Callithrix jacchus: one gene and its partners. The protein of the gene in region 3 purifies or fractionates together with the protein of the main gene of each other region. This does not show direct contact. Links are inferred from orthologs where the notes say so. Each region holds a gene or a part of one and is shown on either strand. Other genes may lie near its edges. The genes, in order: NFKBIE, NFKBIB, NFKB1 and RPS3.

Region 1 (2,640 bases), on a different chromosome or scaffold from region 3:
GGTACAGTTCCTGCTCCAGGCTGGTGCCCAGGTGGATGCCCGCATGCTGAACGGGTGCACACCCCTGCACCTGGCAGCTGGCCGGGGCCTCATGGGCATCTCATCCACTCTGTGCAAGGCGGGTGCTGACTCCCTGCTGCGGAACGTGGAGGATGAGACACCCCAGGACCTGACTGAGGAAGTAAGAGACATATGCTTTGCTCTCCAGGGCCTTGCACACCCATGGCAGAGCGAGGTGTTGTCATTAGCTGAAAGGGCCACAGAGCAAGGAGTCCTGGGTTATAACGAGGACTCTGCCACTGACCAACTGTGGGAACTTGAGCCTGTTTTCTTAGTTGGTCATGACCAGGGAGCCAACTTTGGACTCCTACAGAGACCCTGCAGTTAACGTGAATCAGTGAAGATGGCCAGGTATGCGACCATGGTGTGGTGAGGCCTGTAGGAACTCAGAGAGCCATCCCTGAGGGTCTCTGTACTCAGCTTCAGCAAAAGCTTACAGAGCAGGAGTGTAGGCCCAGTTTTTCCCGGTCTTGGAATTTTTTGAGAGGTGAAACCCAGGTTTTCTGTATAGTCTTTCCTATTTTTAAATGTTCAGTGTAAAAAAGAAACCCAAAATTTTCTCCGAGTACCCAGCCTCCCCCACCCCCACAACAACAAAAAACCAGGTCCGTGGGCGGGATCATCTCTAAGGTCCCTCCTAACTCCGGATATTCTGGCGTTATCTTAGAAAAGGGAGGCTCACCTATGTCCTCAGGGCTCTGCCAAGCCTAGAGAGGCTACTACTTTGAAGATTCGTATGGAGATTTGTTCTCCGATGGTCTTCAACTGTCATTTGGTGGGGAGGGAGTGGCCCAACAGGTTTCCCTGGGTCCCCTTTCCCAAGTCACCTTTTCTCATGTCCTCTGATCTTGCTTCTCTCTGTTCTCCTTCTCAGTCCCTTGTCCTTTTGCCTTTCGATGACCTGAAGATCTCAGGGAAACTGCTGCTGTGTACCGACTGAAGCCAGGAAGGGTCTGAAATCTTCAGGGCTCAACCTCTTTCTCTATCTGGAAGCTGAAGTCATCACTGCTGCAGTTTGGGCCCAGGCTGTGTGCTCTTCTGGTGCCCTAGGGACTGCTATGGCCAGAGCCTGGGGCCAGCCAGTACAGTCCTGAGCTGAGAAGGAGGAACTGCAAGTGAGAGAGAGCCAGTCTGGAAGGAGGAACTTTCCAGATGGACAGGGATTCTTGGAAGACCCCCAAAGCCCCAGGTATCCTGGGTGAAGCCTGTTTGCCTCTCTTGAAAATGGCAGGTGCTCTTGTTTCTACCCATGTTGGGTCAGCCGGAAACTGTCAATCAGTAGGAAACATGGTGGACTCTCCTGAGTGAGAAGAGACAGAAATAGGAGCAAGCTGAACTCTGAGGGGGGTCCTGTCTTACTGCTGTTGAGGACCCTGAAACACTTGACTTCACAGAGAAGGCTCTGAACTGAGCGACTGGGGAAGGGAAGTTTCAGTAACATGACACTAAAATGGCAGAGATGTTAAAAAAGTTTTTCCCTTCTAGCGCTGTTTTGTGCGCATGCATGTCTGTGTGCATTGGGGCTGTTTAGACAGGCCTGCCCTATGACTTTGTGATGAAGGCAGAGAGAATGCAATTGTCCCCTGAGCACGATAGGACCTTGCTGGGTGGGGTCAGAGGCCACTAGTCCCCAGGCCTTTCTCTGTGTCCAGCATAGATCCTTGTCCTTGCTGTGGAAATGATGAGGGATGGAGGGAGAGGAGGAAGAATGAGAAGACACAGGCCCTGGAGCCCTCCCTACTGCCCTGGGCACTGCCATCTGGAGGAACAAGGGTAGCCCAGGGTGACTGGGCACAAGGGAGCTGTGACTTCATATTTTTCTTCCCATTCTTCACCTTCCAGGGCCTGGCTAGGTTGGTCCTATGCTGGTCCTTCTCAGCCAGTGAGAGAGACAGCTGTTAAAAGCGTAATCATCCAAATAAAGATGTCCTTACAAGTTGCAGTAGGTGCTGTGAAGGGAAAGAATAGTGGGAAGGAAAAGGATGGAGTCGGGAGAAGGCCATGCTTTGGGTTGCCCGGGAACCCCCGCCTGAGGAGTGTCATTTCAACTGGGATGTAATGATGAGTAAAGGGATGAGGGCAGAGCATTTGGGGGAAAGCCTTGAGTGAATTAGAAGAACTGAGAGCAGGTCAGTGGGGCTCCACAGCGCGTGGGTGAGTGGGCGAGGAACGCGGGCAAGGCCATGTAGAGGTCATGAGAAGTGGGGGGACAGGATTACTGCCCAGACAAAAAAGGAAGGAGACACCATCCTTTCGGAAAACGGGGAAACTGTAACACAGAGGAGGGGCTTGGGATGCAGAGCCTCAATGTCTCCGGTCCACAAGATGGCAATGGTCACCATGACCTCTGGGACGCTTATGAAGGCCAAGGGCAATGACGAAGCACAGGGGACGCGCCAAGCTGGCGCCTCTCCAGGGCTGGGGCTCCCCGCGCCCAGGGGTAGCCCAGCTCCCCGGAATCCGAGCCGCATCTGCCTCCAGGCCGCGCGGGGGCGCTGTGGCCCGGCGGCGGCCCGGGGCGCTGCGTGGTCGCGGCAGGGGCGGAGGGGGCCGCGGGGAGGGAGGCGGGAAGAGCGCGGC
Region 2 (2,959 bases), on a different chromosome or scaffold from region 3:
CCACCTGGTACCAGACCCCTCCTCAGATGGACTGAGGTCGTTCAGGACCCATTGTTAAGGGCCTGCATCTCACCCCCAGATCACAGGCTTTTCAGCCACTTGGTAGCCCCCCCTTTTTTTTTTTTTTTTTTTTTTTTTTTTGAGTCGGAGTCCCACTCTCCACCAGGCTGGAGTGCAGTGGTGTGATTTCAGCTCACTGCACCCTCCACCTCCTGGGTTCAAGCAATTCTCCTGCCTCAGCCTCCGGAGTAGCTGGGACTATAGGTGCCTGCCACCACACCCGGCTAATTTGTGGATTTACTAGAGATGGAGTTTCACCATGTTGGCCAGGATGGTCTCGATCTCCTGACCTTGTGATCTGCCTGCTTTGGCCTCTCAAAGTGTTGGGATTACAGGCATGAGCCAGCGCACCAGCTCAGGTCCTTTGTGAATTAAGAGCAGAGACTTAGGTCTCCTGGCCCCAACATCCCAGCCCCCCATCCACAGACCCCAGGCTCTTCACCCATGAGCCCCAGGCTTCTCAAAGCCCAGGCTCTAGCACTTGCCGGCAAGCTAAGGCCATCCGACACACACATTTAGGACCCAGGTACCTCTTTGACATACCCAAAGGTTCAGGAACCAGCCCCACACCTGATCACCCTCAGGCCACGTGGTCCTCCCCCAGGATCAAAGCATGGGGGACCCCTCACCCCATCATCTGATGCGTCACTCTGTCCCCAGGCCACACCCCACTCCACGTGGCTGTTATCCACAAAGATGCAGAGATGGTCCAGCTGCTCCGAGATGCCGGAGCTGACCTCAACAAACCGGTGAGCACCACCCTGGGGGAAGCTGCTGTCGTCAGGAGGGGGCTGGTCCCCTCCTTGGGCCCTCTGACCCTTCTGCTGCACCCACAGGAGCCCACGTGTGGCCGGAGCCCCCTGCACTTGGCAGTGGAGGCCCAGGCGGCCGATGTACTAGAGCTTCTCCTGAGGGCAGGTGCCAACCCTGCTGCCCACATGTACGGTGGCTGCACTCCCCTGGGCAGTGCCATGCTCCGGCCCAACCCCATCCTTGCCCGCCTCCTCCGTCAACACGGAGCCCCTGAGCCTGAGGACGAGGACGACAGACCCGGCCCCTGGAGCAGCAGTAGCGACAGCGACAGCGGAGATGAGGGCGTGAGTCAGGAGGCGAGACAGGGCTGCCCAGCTGGGGGGTCAGGGTAGACCGGCAGGCAGGAAGCAGGAGAAGATAATTAGGTGCACGTGGAGACCGACCTTGGGCTGCTGCTGCTGGAGAACTCAGGCAGGTGGCAGCACCAGTGACATGGGGCACTAGTAAGAACAGACCTGGGTGGGGCGGTGGGAAGAGCTTGGGCAGACGTGGCTGAAAAGCTAAGGTGGTGGCAAAAGTAGAACTCAGCCAGAGTTGGAGAAAAGACCTTGGTCATAGTGAACACAGGCAGGGTGGGTGGCAGCGTCGGAGCTGGAGAATTCAGGTTATGAAAAGACAACCTTGGGTGGCAGTGATTTGAACACCAGCAGCGGTAGGGCAGGACCCAAGCCAGAGGTGGGAGAGATGTAGTCAGAGAACCCAGCAATACAGACCTGACCTTGGGCAAGGTGCGGGGCTGAATGACGGGCATGCAGTAATTCGGGTAAAGGCAGAGGGAAGGGGTGGAGGAGGGCCACCTTAGTTGCCAGAATGCTGGAGTGTCGGCTGGGCTAGAGCTCCGACTATAGAAGTAAATTTGAAAATGGAGTTCTGGCTGGGCACAGTGGCTCATGCCTGTAATCCCAGCACATTGGGAAGCCCAGGCAGGTGGATCACCTGGGGTCAGGAGTTCGAGACCAGCCTGACCAACATGGTGAAACCCCATCTCTACTAAAAATACAAAAATTAGCCTGGCGTGGTGGCGGGCACCTGTAATCCCAGCTACTTGAGAGGCTAAGATAGGAGAATTGCTTGAACCCGGGAGGCAGAAGTTGGAGTGAACCTAGATCGCGCCATTGCACTCCAGCCTGGGTAACAACAGCAAAACTCCGTCTCAAAAATAAATAAATAAAATAAAATAAAAATTAAAAAAAGGAAAATGGAGTTCTGAGAGCTAGGAGCAAGGGAATTTGGGGCAAGACACAATTCTTAGGCTGCTCTGTGAAGACATCTGAGCTCCTCTGCCTGGTCCCCTTTGCCCCCAGGATGAATACGACGACATTGTGGTTCACAGCGGCTGCTGCCAAACCCGGTTGCCTCCCACCCCAGCCTCGAAACCTCTTCCTAACGACCCCCGCCCTGTCTGATTCATTTGATTGTTAATATAATTTCCAATTTAATAAATAAAACCCCAATTCTGAAAACCAGAAACCAGACTGATCTCATCTTCCCGGTCCTCCAGGTCCTTCTGGGGCTCATCCCTGTCACATCACGGAGGCAGGGTGCTTTTCTTTGTGCTTTATTTACTCAGAAGGGTTGGAGTGGGAATGCATGGGGGTGGGGGTGCTTCGTGAGTCAGGGCTGACCCCAGCCCCCTGCTCAACTCAGGTGTGGTTCCAAGGCATGCCCATCTTCTCCCCTGCTCCAGTAGGGGTGTTGTGGGGTGCTGGTGAGGTGGAGGCTTCAGGGTCAACAGACCTAAGCCACAGGGTGTGTCGGGAGGAAGGAGGGCTCGAGGCAGGGGTCAGCCCTCCCTCCTGAGCTGCTGCTCCCCCAGCGTCTCCGTTACCTTCTTCAGTTCGTCTCTCAAGTGCTCCAGCCGCTCCACCTCCTGTTCCTGCTGGGGTCAGAAAGGTGGTGGTCAGCACCCACCTTCAAAGACAGGCCATCGCAGTCACTGTGAACGTGGGCCATGCCGGTTCTCACAGTGGCAGCCAGCAGCAGTCGTTCTGATCACCGTGGACCGTGATGGTGACCATGCTGACCACCATAACCCTGGAAGAGCAGTAGTGGCTAATGTGACCACAGCCAACAGCAGCGGCATGGG
Region 3 (3,715 bases):
CAGAAATGGTACACTGTATAGCTGCCGTCACTAAAGAATGTGAATTTACAGCACATCCTTAGGAGTTGCTCTGTTAATTAGCGTCAGGAAAAAACTGCTCTGCTTTTGAGAACTTTAAAAATTCAGCTTTCCTGAAATTCACAGAAGAGCTTTATTTCATTTTTCTTCTTTACAAATAAGCAAAATGAGATCTAAGATTTCAGAAGTAGACTGAAAAGTTATTTTTAGGAATGAGAGTTTAGAATATCACCAAAACATGGAATTTATGATACGGCCATTTTTTTTAAAGAATTTCAAATTATTTCTTTTCCCTTTTCAGCAAATTTGCTTCTAACCTTTATCTGACCTATGTTGGAATAGTGAATTGTCAATTGATATATTTTACTGAGAAAAAGCTGATGTTTTTGCATTTATCTTAGGAGCCATGGACAGTGAATCTAAAACGGACCCTGAAGGTTGTGACAAAAGTGATGATAGAGACACTGTAAACCTCTGTAGAAAAGTCACTGAAACCACAGAGCAGGATCAGGAGCCCAGCAAGGCCACTGATGGGAATGGTGAGGTCACTCTAACGTATGCAACAGGAACCAAAGAAGAGAATGCTGAGGTTCAGGGTAAGTGAGCACACAAGTTACGTTCTGTTGGTTAGCTAGGGAGGGGTCAGTCCCAGGTATAGAAATATATCTGCTAATCTAAAGATGATGTATCAATTTCTAGTTCAGTGTACTCTTCAAAGTTATGTATGCCTTTTTAAAAGCATGTGTCAGATCATTTTATTCACACTGGAAATTCCATTTTTGCTGTTATCTTTGAATATACAGAAATTTACATGTACATTCTCCAGTCATATTCATGCAGTTTTAGGGTATTGTGAGAGACAATCAACTTCTTTTCTGGCACAGATAAATAGAGAAGTATTTCCATAACCTTAATAGTCACCCTCTCTAGAATCTGGCTTAACCGTCATACTGAAGTAGAACTTTGCCTTAAAATAGGAACTTTTCTTTTCATCTTGTTGCCTTCTTTGAAGGAGGAGGATTAAGAGAAAATGTACTTTTGCATTTACTCTGAACCAGTACTTATTAGCATATGTGTCATGATTCTAGATCATCCTAGATGGTACTAAGAAGACTCCTGTAAAAGGAAAGGTAGTAAATATTTAGAGTTGGTGGCCACATTTGGTGTCTGTCACATATTCTTTTTTCTTTTACACCCCTTTAAAAATGTACAAGCCATGATTAGCTAGGAAGCCATATGAAAAGCAGGTCGTAAACAGGTTTTGGCCCAAAGGTCACAATTCTCTAACCTTAATGGAACAAACTTTACAAAATCATGAGTGTCTCATTGAAAGTTTCTATTTATAGCAGAGATGTGTGTTTTTCCACACATTGCCTAACAAGCTAATTGTTAGAGATTCCAATGAAGGATTATTTCACCAAGAGATGTGGTGATTTAAAATTACAGTAAAATCTAACATTATTTGGAGATTGTTTTCCTTAAAATAACAGACATTAATTGTTCACCTTAAAATAACAGACATCTCTAAATTTTTTTCCTTTAACAAACTATACACAGATTCTTTAAGATCAATCTCTAACAATATTTGTCACTGACCCAATGTCCAATTCTGCTTTTTCTAATCAACACAATCCAAAAGCATTGAAAGGAGCATTTTCAACTAAAGTGATGTGTCAAGGTGTCAGAACACCGATGCTGGTCAGTCTGGCCTCAAGCATGCCTTGCTGTTAGAACAAAAGAAGGAAACTCAGCTGTGATTGTGGTCATTGCCTTACAGATAACCTCTTTCTAGAGAAGGCTATGCAGCTTGCGAAGAGGCATGCCAATGCCCTTTTCGACTATGCAGTGACAGGAGATGTGAAGATGTTGCTGGCTGTCCAGCGCCATCTCACTGCTGTGCAGGATGAGAATGGGGACAGGTAAGTCAGGACTTTTGTATGATGGGCTGTTTTGGGCAGGGAAGAAGAGCATTTTATAAATGTATACAGATGAGAGATAAAAAAATAACTTTTCAAATGTATTGAGTCCTCTAACTGGAACAATCAAGAAAACTAATGTGTACGGTAACCAGAGCAAAATTTGCTGCTCCATCCTGCTGTCACCTGTTGGAATCTGTAATAGTTGGAGGACTCATCTAAGAGTGAATCTCTCTGGGCAAGAAAACTAAGATGTGTGTAGGTAATGGTACTTTTTAAAAAGACTTGCTTTGTTTATTGAAATAATAACAAGTCCTACCAAATCCCTGAAGCATTGTTATCCCAGCTGCGTTTTTATAATGACAGTGTACTCAAGAAAGAGCTCAATAAAGGCAGCAACAACGAATACTTAAGAGGGACTGGTTCTTCTTTCCCAGTTACTGGTTTCTTCTCTACTCCATCTGCTAATGGTCACCAGTCTGAGACTGGTTCAGACTTCTGTGACTGCTCCAGCCCGTGTGTGGGAGTGGAGCATTCCAGATACCATGCCTTCCATTCCTGCTAGTACTGAGATTGTATTTGCAAAGCCACCTGGCTTCTTTCTAAAACAGTTCTCTTAGTCCTTTCATTGAGACTTCTGAAATGATCTCAAAAGCCTATAAAAATAACAAGAGACAGCAGCCTTCACATTCAAGTCAAGTGCCTTATCTAGAAGCTTCCTAAAATAGCATCAACACAGATAAATCCTTTTCTGTGGAAGAGCTCTTGAGTGCTGTGTTTTAGACCTCAGTTTAAAAAGTAAACCAAGCACTTAAGGAAAGTAACAACCTCAGGGTTTCAAACAGAGAGACCTTTGTTCTCATTCCTTGCAATGTAACCAAGGATGTGGTATAACCACTGGCCTTGTTATACAGTATGAGAGGAACCAGTACAACCTTTTTGGTATAAGGCCATGAACAACAGAATGCTTTTTCAGGGTTAAATAATCCAGTTAGCATTCAGTCACGCACAACCACAAGAAAAAGCAGTTAACCAAGACAAGACAGCAGTGTTTCAAGTGACATTTCCAGAGACCCATTGAATTGATAAGTCTAAGAATATGAGCACATACAGGTTGGAAAGGAAGTGCTGATATCTGAAGGGAGGATTCTAGGAAGGGATAAAAGGCGAGGCGCATGCAAGTTCCCTCCTAAGACCCAAGCACACTCACACAGGCAGGCTCTCAGAGAGACCACAGAGGTGGGACTTGGAGAGACTAAAGGATCCTCATAGGAGCATAGGTAAAGGACAGATTTTGGCCATCACAGCCCAAGTCTTTTGTTTTTTTTTCCACAGCAATTTATTGTGTATTTCAAAATAGCTAGAAGACAAGATATGAAATGTTCTCAAACACAGAGAAAAGATAAATATTTGAGGTGATGAATATCCTAAGTACCCTGATTTGATTATTGCACATTGTATGTATCAAAATATCACATGTGCCCCATAAATATGTAAAGTTATAATGTATCAATAAAAAATTTTTAAAGATTAAGATGGCACATTATACATTTTGGGTTTTTGGCAAGTCTCTTCTTTTAATTCACCTTGTCATATTTGGCTAATAGTCTGAATCCTGTGGCCATTAGTCATCATAGAAAATACAATAAAAATATATATATATAAAACTTCTGGTACTGGGGAAATTCCCATAAGGGTGTGAGGATTTGAGGGGGAGGGGGATTGTACTTCTGCTATGAAATGCTGAGCTGCACATGGAAATTTTCGGGCAGTTTTAGAAG
Region 4 (4,188 bases), on a different chromosome or scaffold from region 3:
GTCTTGTTAGTCTGCCAGTTCAGTGAAGGCATGGCTTAGTACCCTATAATCACAGGAGATTACCAGATGCTGTCACTTTGTAACAGTTCATCTGCTAAATTAACAAATGGCAGACATATATTTTGATACACACAAACGTCAGTACCATTAGGTCTCAGGATACTTACCTGCGCACAGCAAGCCCTCCTAGGAGTTTGTAACGCAGAGACTCTGCCTGAGCAATTGCGCACAGACCTCTAGTGGCCACCTTTTCAGCATAAAGCTTTAAAGGAAGCAAGGGACATTGTGTTACCATTCACCACTGTTTTCAACTGAAAGTTGAAAATCTGACATTTGTCATACAGGCATCACTTTCTACACCAAACTCGTCCAACCCACGGGCCACATGCAGCCCCGGACAGCTTTGAATGTGACCCAACACAAATTCAACATCATGATTTTTTGTGCTATCATTAGTGTGGCCCAAGACAATTCTTCCAATGTGGCCTAGGGAAGCCAAAAGATTGGACACCACCATCACATATAGCATATCATTTCAGTATCCCTCAATTCCTAAAGCACTTCTACCACCTACACACAGTGCAGGTTCCTTGCCCTCCCGCCCTGGCTCCTTTAGCCACACCAAGGACACCAGTGCGGACAGTCAAGCCATCATATGCCCAAGTTGAACGTAAAATCCTTTAACCACCATTCGTTAGCAGAATAGGCTTACAAAGTTAAGCTCATTATTCATTAAGAGAATTTCAACATTTTACCAGTCCATTTGTAATGAACAAATAAAGTCTCCAAATTGAAAGTTTTTTAGAAGTATTCTGAAGAGCCATCTTTCTCTGGCATGCCAGAATCACTCACCTCTACACTGCCCTCTGGAAAGCCAAACCTTTTCTGAACTACAGCAGTCAGCTCCCGAATCCGCCGGCCCTTCTCACCAAGAACATTCTGTGTTCTGGGGGGGGAAAGGTGACAATTCATGACTCTTACAATGCTAGATGTAACTTTAAATCTTGCATACATGTGTGGTAGCAAAAAATCTCTGCCACAAAGCATAAAATTTTTTAACAAAAACAAAAGTTAAATTTTAAAAATGCAGTTGCAATCCTACACCTGGCCTTAAAATGCAGCTTTTAAGAAGCAGTTATATTCACTAAGCCCAGATTCATTAGTTGTTTGTACCTTAAGTTCACAGAGAATAAACCAACTTAGCATTTACATAGATGGGCAGTCAAGTGGGTTTTACCTGGTGGCTAAGATGATGATTTCTGTCCTGGTTGGTGTAACTCGGACCTCAACTCCGGAATAGCCATCTTCAGCCAGCTCCCGAGTAAGAAACTCATTCAGTTCGGCTTTGAAGATGCCATCAGCGACAAACTAACCCAAAAAAAGTGAAGTTCAAAATTAGGACATCGGTGTAGGTTCACTGTCATCTGAGCCAGTCTAGTCTTACTAGTCAATGCATTCCTCACCAAAACTACCTCCAACTAATGATTCCAAACCCTTGTTTCAACAGGAGTGCAGCAACCCTTCTCAGGCAAATGCCTCTAGGTCATCTTTAGGAAGTTACTTCAGCCAGGGCCCTTTAAACAGTGCCACAGAACGCAGCACAGAGTAGGCCACCTGGGCAAAGGGAACACCCCCAAGTCAGACTCGTCATCATCTCTTCATCGAAGGGTTTAAAACAGTTCCACGTGCAAAAACACGAAACTGCTCTAAAATGGCCCATTTACATTTCGCTCAGCACAGCAAAGACACTGTACTTCTCACCGTGAAGGAAGAGAGTGTGGACTTAATAATATAGAAGCCGTCCCACTTGTAGACAAAATCTGGACCGTCTAAAGAATCCCAGCCATGTTATCTGGCCTTACAGTACCTGCTGATTTAACTGTAAACAGAGCTGGCAAATCCTAACTCAGAGTCGTGGACTTAATTTTAACATCGAAGTGTTCATATACAAAATGACAAACCGTCTATTTTTTTTTTTGAGACGGAATTTCGCTCATTACCCAGGCTGAAGTGCAATGGCGCGATCTCGGCTCGCCGCAACCTCCGCCTCCTGGGTTCAAGCAATTCTCCTGCCTCAGCCTCCTGAGTAGCTGGGACTACAGGCGTGCGCCACCATGCCCAGCTAATTTTTGTATTTTTAGTAGAGACAGGGTTTCACCTTGTTGACCAGGATGGTCTCGATCTCTTGACCTCGTGATCCACCCGCCTCAGCCTCCCAAAGTGCTGGGATTATAGGCGTGAGCCACCGCGCCCGGCCTCAAACCGTCTATTTTTAAAGCTAATGATTTTTACAGTTTTTTCTCGTGGAATGATAAGACGTTAAATCCGAGGCAGCTTCCTCCCGGGGTCCTCAGACGGAACAAGCTACCGTCAGTAACTCTTCAGTTGAGATTTGGGGGCCAGCAGATTGCACCCAAACACGACCAGTAAGAAGGTAAGAAACCTTCCCCTTCCCAAAACCACGGGGTAACACATGAGGGAAATGACACACGCCCTCATGTGTTTAATTAGGTGGACCAAAAAATGCTCACAAACGCCTTCTCCGGGACAGAAGAGGCGCCTGGTGCCCATCTCTCTGAGCTTCACTCAGAACCGGAAAAATATGGTTCTCTCCCTTTCCCGGCCTCACAATGCTCGCCTGGCTCGGGCCTCTCACTCAATCCACCTGGATCTGCGGCCCGCAGGAACGCCAGGCGGCCTCAACCGCTTCCTAGGGCAGGGCACAGAGCCGCAGGCCTCGCGGTGGCACCTCGGGAAGCCCTTGACCCGCGTGGCGCCATCATTTCCCAAGCACAGGCCCCAGAGACTCACCTTCCTCTTTTTAGAAATTTGCACAGCCATCTTGCCGCCACACTCCGCCGAAAGGAAAGGAAAGGAAATGGCTCTCGGGCGGAAATGGGTAAAAGGGCGCGAGCGACGACCTACGGCGGCGCTACGTGGACGCCTGTGGGTGTTCATGGGAAATGTAGTGTTTACGTAGAAGGCGTCTGGGGAAAGAAGAGTGTTGGTATCTCTGCAGGCAGAAACAAGAAAGGGGGTTCATCCAGCAGGACTTCTAAAATGCAGGGGAACTTAGATATCAAATTAACTTAGTTTAAAAACAAGCAATGTGAGGTGCAGAGGTGGAAATTACAGGTATAAGTTCACACAGCAAGAGTTTAACCAGCGTGGAACTCTGACCCCTATGGGTCGACACTGTAATGAAAATTTGCTGAAAGCCCTCAGTGAAACTCATTTAAGACTCCTCTTTGGGAGGCCAAGGCAGGCGGATCACTTGAGATCAGGAGTTCGAGATTGGCCTGGCGAACATGGTGAAACCCCGTCTCTACTAAAAATACAAAAATTAGAGTGGTGCCGGGTGCCTGTAATCCCAGCTACTCGGGAGACTGAGGTGGGAGAGTTGCCTGCGCCGTGGAGGCGGAGGTTGCAGTGGGCCGAGATCGCACTACTACACTCCAGTCTGGGCGACAGAGTGAGACTGTCTCAAAACAACGACAACAACAACAAAACCTCATGTCCCCAGTCAGTGCCCCTTTCCTCCGTTCCAAATGATAATAATAAAACCTGATATTTACTAAGCATCCTAGGGACTGTGTTCCGTGTCCTTTTTGTTCTCATTTACCCCACCTTGCTTTCATCAAGTCCATTATAGTTTGTAACGGAAGTCCCAGAGGGTGGCTCATGTGTGCATTTCTATCTTTCTCTCTTTCTTTCTCTCTCTCTCCTTTCTTTCTCTCTCTCCTCCCTTCCCTCCCCTCCTCTTTGTCTTTCTTTTTCTCTCCTGTTGCCCAGGCTGGCGTGCAGTGGTACAATCTCAGCTCACTGCAACCTCCGCCTCCTGGGTTCCAAGCAATTCTTCTGCCTCAGCCTCCCAAGTAGATGGAATTACAGGCATATGCCACCATGCCCAGCTAATTTTTGTATTTCTAGTAGAGACGGGGTTTTACTATGTTGGCCAGGCTGATCTCCAACTCCTGCCCTCAAGTGATCCACTCGCCTTGGCTTCCCAGAGTGCTGGGATTACAAGCATGAGCCACCACGCCCGGCTAAAAAGAGGCTTTCCAATGTGCCACACTCCCTGGCAGCACCACTCGATTGTTTTCTGGTCCTAGAAGCCACTGGAGTGTTTAATAACTCCAATACTAAAACAACTCTGACCTGACCTATAATCATGAAATTAACAGAGTT

Evidence for each region.
Region 1: the proteins of NFKB1 (region 3) and NFKBIE purify together in Homo sapiens (affinity purification with mass spectrometry; 4 studies listed by BioGRID and IntAct, with this or other methods). This does not show direct contact. The link is inferred for Callithrix jacchus from reciprocal best matches to the Homo sapiens genes NFKB1 and NFKBIE.
Region 2: the proteins of NFKB1 (region 3) and NFKBIB purify together in Homo sapiens (affinity purification with mass spectrometry; 7 studies listed by BioGRID and IntAct, counting the BioPlex papers as one, with this or other methods). This does not show direct contact. The link is inferred for Callithrix jacchus from reciprocal best matches to the Homo sapiens genes NFKB1 and NFKBIB.
Region 4: the proteins of NFKB1 (region 3) and RPS3 purify together in Homo sapiens (affinity purification with western blotting; 3 studies listed by BioGRID and IntAct, with this or other methods). This does not show direct contact. The link is inferred for Callithrix jacchus from reciprocal best matches to the Homo sapiens genes NFKB1 and RPS3.

What each region holds. Positions count from the first base shown.
Region 1 is NC_133505.1:52,723,118-52,725,757, reverse strand, and holds the end of NFKBIE (NF-kappa-B inhibitor epsilon), read left to right. Parts: coding exon 1-181; intron 182-934; coding exon 935-1,000; 3' UTR 1,001-2,002; downstream 2,003-2,640. UniProt on the Homo sapiens protein: Sequesters NF-kappa-B transcription factor complexes in the cytoplasm, thereby inhibiting their activity. Sequestered complexes include NFKB1-RELA (p50-p65) and NFKB1-REL (p50-c-Rel) complexes.
Region 2 is NC_133523.1:34,465,294-34,468,252, forward strand, and holds the end of NFKBIB (NF-kappa-B inhibitor beta), read left to right. Parts: intron 1-720; coding exon 721-809; intron 810-896; coding exon 897-1,157; intron 1,158-2,177; coding exon 2,178-2,279; 3' UTR 2,280-2,343; downstream 2,344-2,959. Other genes in the region: CCER2 (coiled-coil domain-containing glutamate-rich protein 2), read right to left, coding at 2,657-2,752. UniProt on the Homo sapiens protein: Inhibits NF-kappa-B by complexing with and trapping it in the cytoplasm.
Region 3 is NC_133504.1:94,736,636-94,740,350, reverse strand, and holds part of NFKB1 (nuclear factor NF-kappa-B p105 subunit), read left to right. Parts: intron 1-419; coding exon 420-614; intron 615-1,795; coding exon 1,796-1,937; intron 1,938-3,715.
Region 4 is NC_133511.1:65,551,230-65,555,417, forward strand, and holds the start of RPS3 (small ribosomal subunit protein uS3), read right to left. Parts: upstream 2,872-4,188; 5' UTR 2,842-2,871; coding exon 2,812-2,841; intron 1,668-2,811; exon of another isoform or gene 1,520-1,667; intron 1,369-1,519; coding exon 1,238-1,368; intron 947-1,237; coding exon 853-946; intron 263-852; coding exon 168-262; intron 1-167. UniProt on the Homo sapiens protein: Component of the small ribosomal subunit. The ribosome is a large ribonucleoprotein complex responsible for the synthesis of proteins in the cell. Has endonuclease activity and plays a role in repair of damaged DNA.